2 linked regions of the Sus scrofa genome follow. The protein of the gene in region 1 purifies or fractionates together with the protein of each later gene. This does not show direct contact. Links are inferred from orthologs where the notes say so. Each region holds a gene or a part of one and is shown on either strand. Other genes may lie near its edges. The genes, in order: WSB1 and CUL5.

What was found.
Region 2: the proteins of WSB1 (region 1) and CUL5 purify together in Homo sapiens (affinity purification with mass spectrometry; 4 studies listed by BioGRID and IntAct, counting the BioPlex papers as one, with this or other methods). This does not show direct contact. The link is inferred for Sus scrofa from reciprocal best matches to the Homo sapiens genes WSB1 and CUL5.

Annotation. Positions count from the first base shown.
Region 1 is NC_010454.4:43,883,435-43,888,044, reverse strand, and holds the start of WSB1 (WD repeat and SOCS box-containing protein 1), read right to left. Parts: upstream 2,931-4,610; 5' UTR 2,612-2,930; coding exon 2,572-2,611; intron 1-2,571. UniProt on the Homo sapiens protein: Probable substrate-recognition component of a SCF-like ECS (Elongin-Cullin-SOCS-box protein) E3 ubiquitin ligase complex which mediates the ubiquitination and subsequent proteasomal degradation of target proteins.
Region 2 is NC_010451.4:36,492,696-36,496,510, reverse strand, and holds part of CUL5 (cullin-5), read right to left. Parts: intron 3,577-3,815; coding exon 3,445-3,576; intron 783-3,444; coding exon 659-782; intron 295-658; coding exon 119-294; intron 1-118. UniProt on the Homo sapiens protein: Core component of multiple cullin-5-RING E3 ubiquitin-protein ligase complexes (ECS complexes, also named CRL5 complexes), which mediate the ubiquitination and subsequent proteasomal degradation of target proteins.

The sequences.
Region 1 (4,610 bases):
GAGAACCAAACAACTGTAATTAATACCCAAGAAAAAAGGGAAGTCAGTCCTTACTGATAGATACAAACTACACAGTGTAGTGTTTAACTCTGTATCCAAATAATTTTTTAAAAAACAAAGAAACAAAAACCTGTTTAAAAAAACAAAACAAAACGACCTTTAAAAGGCCAAAGTTCTTTTAGATTATTTGGCGACTACCTAGTAACTTTATACTATATCTAGGAAATAACAATGAGACCTAAATACCGCCCCCATTTTTTTTAATTCAAAAGGCTACCTAGTGGATAGGTATCTACCTATGGATAGGTTCTACCTTATGCAGTTATGCTAAGAAGCTCTATCCATCCCTTATAAGAGAGGACTGGAAAGTTTTCAAAATGATTCAAGATGAAGTAAAATACAGATAAATGAAAGGCAGACCACTCATCTATGACACTACTGTGAGTACGAAAACAAAACACCATTGGACTGAGAATAAGAACTTCTGAGTTCTACATCCCACAGTTAAAATAAAAATTGGACATGAGGACTTCCTGCTGTGGCGCAGCAGGCTAAGAATCCAACTTCAGCAGCTCAGGTCACTGTGGAGGTGCAGGTTTGATCCCAAGGCCCTGGAGCAGTGGGTTAAAGGATCTCACGTTGCTACAGCTGCAGGTCAGATTCAATCCCTGGACTTCCACATGCCACAGGTGTGACATAAAAACAAACAAAAAAACTGGACATGAATTTTGTTTTCTGTTTAAAACTGTTACTAAAACCAGGATCAGGGAATTCATCGTGGCACATCGGAAAAGAATCCAACTAGGAACCACGAGGTTGCGGGCTCTATCCCTGGCCCCGCTCAGTGGGTAAGGATCCAGCATTGCCATAAGCTGTAGTGTAGGTCGCAGACAGGCTCGGATCCTGCGTTGCTGTGGTGGAGGCCTGGAGGCCGGCAGCTGTAGCTCCGATTAGACCCCTAGCCTGGGAACCTCCATATGCTTCAGGTGCAGCCCTGAACAGCAAAAAAAACCCCCAAAAAACAGCGTCGGGAGTTCCTGTTGTGGCTCAGCAGAAATGAACATGAGGATACAGGTTCAAACCCTGGCTCCACTTAGTGGGTTAAAGCATCTGTTGCTGCTGTGAGCTGTGGTGTAGGTCACAGACAAGGCTGGGATCTGGCATGGCTGTGGCATAGGCTGGCAGCTGTAGCTCCAGTTTGACTCCTAGCCTGGGAACTTCCATATGCTGCAGGTGTGGCCCTAAAAAGCAAAAAAGCCAAACAAAAAACAACCCAGGGTTAAAGCCCCCTCCTAACTTGCCATCCAACTGTATCCCTAAGAGGACAAAAGTCCAGAATTCTAAGATAGCTGTCTCTAAATATAAGAATTTACCAACATACAGTATAGGGGGCCTTTTAGCTATTGTTTCTCCCTTTCTCTGGAAATACCTCCTGCCAGTGTTTAATAAAGGCATACATTTAGTTGAAGAATAAGGAAATGCAAAGGCTCTCAGCTCAGTAGCTACCTCCAATTTTCATTTATTTAACAGCGGTAATTTCAGTGCTGGGCTTTGAGAAAGGGTGGGGAGATGCTAAATCTATTTTAATAAAAACTGCATATATTTAAATAAGGTGTATAACTTGACTTGCTAAGTTTAAATGTTTAGTAACACATCAATCAATGATTAGCACCCCCAACTTCCCCCAAAGTTGTTCCAGTTATTTCACCTTGTGAGAGGACTTAAAAAAATGTGAGGTGTTTTCCACTGAGCCACTGGGTACGTCCTGACACAGGACCGCCAACATCTATCAGCCGGTTTTCAGCTCGGCAGGGCTGGCCGCTAAGCGTTTCTAGACAGCCTTTTCAAGAGTTTGCTCCTCCGTAGATGAGCTTTTCTTCGGTCACTCCACCCAACCACCCTGCTCCTCCCAACTCTTAAGTGCACGAAAGATAACTGAGACTCCTCCCCTGAGCCGCCTGCTGCCTTTCTTAACGCCACACCAATTAAAAAAAAAAAAAAAAAATATATATATATATTGCTTTTTCCAGGCTGAAGGCAGCTCTTCGGCTGCACTTCCCCTTATAGTGATTGGTATACACGAAGACCCATCCTTTCATAACAGCTCAGAACACACAAGTGTACTTTTCCCCACTGGAAACTTGTAAGCGTCCCGAAGACTTACCCAGCCCGCTCCGGCCCACTCCAGGCCCCAACCCCCGAGCCAAGAGAATCCCTGCAGAACAGCCCTGCGCAGACCTCCGATGAGACAGCTAGGATCCCCACGAGTGTGTATCCATCCCGGGCCACATGATCACTACAGCCCTCCACTCGGCGCCCAGAATCTCTTTGCCTCTAAGATCCGCGCACTGCCTTCCGCCGTGCCCGGCGCACAGTAGGCGCGGCATCAAGGCTGAACCCATTTACCCTCAACGACACCCACTCACAGGGCCGCTTCTTCCCTCTGCGCTCTAAGGCTTGGCTCAGGCTCACTCCACTTCCTCAGACTCAGAGCCTCCTCGGGAGAGTCCCTGCCTCTCCTAAACTCCCGCGGGCTCACCGGCACCCCTCGCCCATCGTCCCATTCCTCACCGATCTCTTTCTCGTTGACCCTCGGGGGAAAGCTGGCCATCTATGGGGTACCGTCCGATTCCGGGGAAGCGATGCGGACGCAACGACAGAGAAGGGAAGGTTGAGCGCCGAGGGGCGTGACGCGGTCTGGGTCCCTCCCGGTCCCAGGGACGGAGGGGAGGGGCGGGGCGGTCGCGGCGGCTTCTGCCGACTGCCCCGGGAAAGCTCCGGAGGCCTCGGACCAAACTACGGCGTGAAACACAAACAATAGCCCCTGCTCCCTGCCTCACGCCCACGGAGTCAGACACTTCCCTCTACGCCGCGGACAGCAAACGAGACACTGGAGACAAAATGGCGGTCGGCGCGGTTAATATCAGGGATGCGGGGCGGGGTCTGGTGACGTAAAAGCGCTATGCCCCGCCTCCCGACGTTCGGGACGTGACGGCCAAGGCTTGGTGCCCCGCCCTCCCGCCGGGTGCTCTAGGGCGTTGTCCTGGGGACTGGACCTGGGAGCCGGAAGAGGGCGGGGGCGGTAGAGGAGGGGTGCGACCCCAGTCCAGGCCCAAACGCCGGGCTGGAGCCTACTGACTGCTTTTAACTGCGTCTCTTTTTTCGGCCGGGGGCCCAGCATGGTGTTTATAACTTGAAGCGCCTTTAAAAAGGCAAATAGAGAATTGTGTAATACACGTTAGCCCACAGTGTAAAGATTGCGTGGCATTTAAGCTGACTGAACTGAAAAGAACAAAAAAAGGCATTCCAGACTTCAATTCTATTTGGCCTCTTCCCCGGCCCTCAAATGGCAGGGAACTGGGGGTGGCACTGTTGAAAACAATGAGATGACATCGCTCTGTACCACATGTCCGGCCGTGAGCGTTCTTATGAGAGCTAGCAGATTTTTGGAAGGGCCGAAGTGACCCGGCTTGAGGAAGGGGGAGACCTGGGCTGGATGGTGTCCTGCCCCACCACAAGGCCTCCTGGGGCTGCCTTCGTCCTGGCTAATCCCTGCAGCCGGCCTGCCCGGAGGCTGCAGCGAGGCTGGCGGTCGGCTGTGTCCTGACCACTAGCCGAGGCAGATCCCACCGTGTCTGCTTAGAAGCGGCCCATTCTGCAAGGCTGCTTTCCAAGGTCTAGGCCTCTGGGAGGCAGCTAGCTATTTACACTGCAGTGCTGATAAATGTGTGTGTATCTGCCAAAAGCCAAGTTGGTTCCATTCAAAGACGATATCTTTGCATTTTAATGGGTTCTTCTGTGGGCATTAAACCTAGTTCCAAAGGAAGACGTCTAAGGCTGGGAATTTCAAATATGCAACAGACACCAATGGGAGAGGAGTTGTGCCTAGCCAGACTCTTTCGAGAGATCTCAAATGACAGCACCTACAGCATGACTTCTTCATCTTTTTCTTTGCATAAGGATAAGTCTTCCAATAGTGAAATATTTAATAACAGGTACAAGAAATCATCCCCCTCTCCTTTTTTTTTTGTCACATACAGTCAACATATTTATTGATGGCTTACTTTGTGCCATACACTGAGGCTAGTTGTCAAATATCTAGAGTAGAACAAAAGAAAATAGTGCAGTCTAGTATCTTCAATAGCAACATTTCTATCAGTCCCTGTTGATTCTTTAAACCAACTGCTATTTCCTCTCTTCACATGTACTGTATCTACTGTTACAAAGTCATGGGAAATACCAGTTCTTTAAGTGCCTGCATTGTTTTGGTGGCTTTTTCATACAATTGTTTAATTCCATTGTAATTTATTACTGCTAGCCAACAGACTTCCAGACCATTTCTCAACTGGCAAAGTATGACAATGGAATGAAAAATAATTTTAATGATTTATGTACTCATTAGTGATACTGTCTAATATTTATTGGGTCAGGTACTGTGCCATATAAGGGCTTCTGTGGATTAACCCATTTAATATCCACGCCAGTATGAGTAGTGTATTCATTACTCATGTTTTACAGACAATTAGTAACTTTAAAGTAGTCACAGAGTTGCTGAGTGACAAGGTGTTTGATTTCAACCCAAGCTTGTTTGACTGCCCTGTCCCACTTCC
Region 2 (3,815 bases), on another chromosome or scaffold:
CCTGCCCAAACTTTCACTTGTGAGAGAAGCAAAGATCTATCTTGTTAAAGCAAATCTTATTTGGAGTCCTGCTACTTTCAGCCAAACCAATATCTGAACCAACACACCATCTACTTACAATTCCATTTGACATGAGATGATGCCAATGTAATTTTCTACCACTATGATTTTTTTTGTAGAATTCTTCTACTTCAGGTATCAAATCCTCCAGTTCAGTAGGAAGTGAGACAAAGACTTTTTCAGAACTTCTTGACCAGGCACCAGCATTAAGAATTTTTATATTAACTGAATCAGCTATAGGAAAGAAGATCAGAAAGTATTAAGCCAATACTCTTGACAATGGATAATTTTTTTTAACAATGATTTTTATTTTTTCCATTATAGCTGGTTTAAAAACAATGGATCAAATTTAAAATACAAACACAGAGGGTAAGTTTGGTGAAAAATAAATAAAGACTAAAGATTTTGTTTAAAAGTGTCTGTTTGTTTCAAATTAAGAATTAGCAAATCTAAATTCTGCTTTGCAGGATATTGTCAAAGAATGTGGGCTCTGAATATCTTTATATCTATTACTCCTTAAACATTTTTAATTTACTAGAAAACAAAGATATTCTTTTTTTAAAGTTAAAAAAAAATGTATGTAATTATAAAATAATACCTGGTAAAGCCAATTTATTATTTTTGTGCATTTCCTTAAAAGCTTGGTTCAAATCTTCAGATACTTTTATGTCCTGAAACATTCTAGCAAGTTTGTTTACATAATCTGCTGGCATACCAACTTCCTATGAAAACCAAAGACAGAAGAAGTAATAAATAATACATAATCTGATAAACTATTAGGAAAAATTATAATGTAAAACTAAGTGTTAGATGTTTTAATATAAATTTTTTTCTTTTATTTATTAGAATGTTTATAATCTAATACCTATTACATTTTATTCTTAGAAAATAAACAGAATATTCAGGCAATCCTGGCATTCTGTGCATGAATCCAGGATGCATTAATTTCAGTTACCACAATATAGTTAAATAACACCGGCCCCCCAACAACACACTTCAACTTTCAATTACCATTACATATTAAATGAGGGTAATACATAAAGCACAAATGTAACCTCTAGCTCCTCAATCTAAAAATCATCAACAAATAACAGGCACATCGTATCAGTCACCAGTCACAATACTTCTTTCAAAATCTGTTACCAGTTTATTATTCAGCTCACCTATGGATAGCAAAGCATGTATTTTCTTGCATTCATGTCTTTGAGGGATAAATCCACATAACATTTTACCAAAATGAATAACTAAAAGAGGTAACTGGGCAAGAAAGATGATAAAAGTATACCTCCCCAAAAAAGAAGAAAATAATGTTGGAAATGAAAATAAAACAGAGGCGTTCCCTTCGTGGCTCAGTGGTTAAGGAGCCTGACTAGGAACCATGAGGCTGCGGGTTTGATCCCTGGCCTCACTCGGTGGATTAAGAATCTGGCGTTGCCATGAGCTGTGGTGTAGGTAGCAGACACAGCTTGGTTCTGGCATTGCTGTGGCCATGGCATAGGCCAGCAGCTGTAGCTCTGATCCGACCCCTAGCCTGGGAACCTCTATATGCCTCAGGTGAGGCCCTAAGAAGCAAAATAAATAAATAAACACAATTAAAAAAAAAAAAAAGAGTTCTTTTATATTCTAGATATAGTATCAGACATAAGTATTATAAATATTTTCCTAACTACTCTTTTCTTTTTGTTTGTTTGTTTGTTTTTTAAATGGCTGCATTTGTGGCATATGGAAGTTCCCAAGATAGGGGTCAAATTAGAGCTATAGCTGAGACTTATGCCGCAGCCATGATCTGAGGCGCATCCGCAATCTACAAGGAAACACTGGGTCCTTAAACTACCAAGTAAGGCCAGGGATCGAACCTACATTCTCAGAGACAACAATGGGTCCTTAACACGCAAAGCCACAATAGGAACGCCACCAAGTTTTTTTATAAAGACATAAAACACTTTAAATCTGAAAATGAATGTTTTATAGTGTACTTTTCTTCTATATTTACAACAGATAGTAATTGTTTTTAATATTTTGACAAAAATTTCTAAGTCACGGAGTTCCCATTGTGGCTCAATGGTAACAAACCTGACTAGTATTCATGAGGATGTGGGTTTGATCCCTGGCCTTGCCCAGTGGGTTAAGGATCTGGCATTACTATGAGCTGTGGTGTAGGTCACAGTCAAGGCTTGGATCTGGCGTTGCTGTGGCTGTAGTGTAGACCAGCAGCTATAGCTCCAATTTGACCCCTAGCCAGGGAACATTCCTATGCCCTGGGTGAAGCTCTAAAAAGAAAAAAAAAAAAATTTAAGTCACAAAACAGTAATTGTTCCCACTGACTATTAATACTGAGATCAGCTGCACAGTCATTTTTAATATTCCACACTACCATGCAAAGCAGAGCTCTCTGAAAATCTGTAATGTGAAATATACATATAAATGAAAACCATATATATAACATATAACTATACACATTACAATGTTTTTGTTATATATAAAATACCATAAAAATAAATGAAAGACATATTCATTGATGTTATGCTAATATAACTCAAATTCCATTAAATGAACTAAAAGGAAGAGACTTAAAATATTCTGTTATAAGAATTTAGTCTTAATTAGCATTGATCCTCCTAAACAGGCCATCACTTTTTACCTATTGGTTCCTTTTCCTTTACAGATGTACCTATTCACAAATATCTCTATGGACAAATATTTAGTACAAAAAACACCTAAAAAATGATTTGTCCAGAAGGTCAGTTCAAATGAGAGTGGAGATACAAAAAGACTGAAACAAGAGAAGCAAAGCAAGAGCAAAGGTGCTTTACTGAAAGTCTTTATTAAGGAGTTCCCTTCATGGCTCAGTGGTTAATGAACCTGACTAGTATCCATGAGGACAAGGGCTCGATCCCTGGCCTTGCTCAGTGGGTTAAGGATCCAGCATTACTGTGACCTACAGTGTAGGTCGGCAGCTATAGCTCCCATTCAACACCTAGCCTGGGAACCTCCGTATGCCCCAGGCGCACCTCTAAAAAGACCAAAAAAAAAGTCTTTATTAAAGTAATAGGATTTCCCATTGTGGTGCAACAGATCCAGTGCTAAGGTAAGCTGTGGTGTAGGTCACAGATTCGGCTCATATCCTGTGTTGCTGTGACTATGGCGTAGGCCAGCAGCTGTAGCTCTGATTTGACCCCTAGCCTGGGAACTTCAATGGCCCTGAAAAGCAAAAAAAAAAAAAAAAAAAAAAAAAAGATAATATGCCTTACTTTATAAGAATATACTATATTCTTATAAAATGTTCCTTTATTTCAACATTAACAATATCACCAAAAACCTAAGCACACATACGAACCATGTACTATCTTAAGAAAACCAAATATTTTTTAAACATTTACTTACTCTTAGCCACTCTACCATATTCTCTTCAATTTCACTATCAGCAGAGATGTCTAATATAAGACGGCGTGTCAAATGAGCTTTGTGGTATCTCATAAAAACGTCTTTGTTTTGTACATATTTAAGTACCAAGAGCTGTATAGAAAACAAAGTTTACTTTCATTTATATACACTCTTAACCACCACTCTCATTTAGAATTTTCTATATCCTCAACTGTCAAATTTCAGAAATTCATATCAGCATATACAGATAGTGACCTACAAAACTGTCCATCTCTGAAAAATAACCAGTCCTGACATACTACTTTAAAAGTTAGCAAATTTGAGATGGTAACCAAATAATCTTTTAATTTCTATAAACATCAATTTTTGAG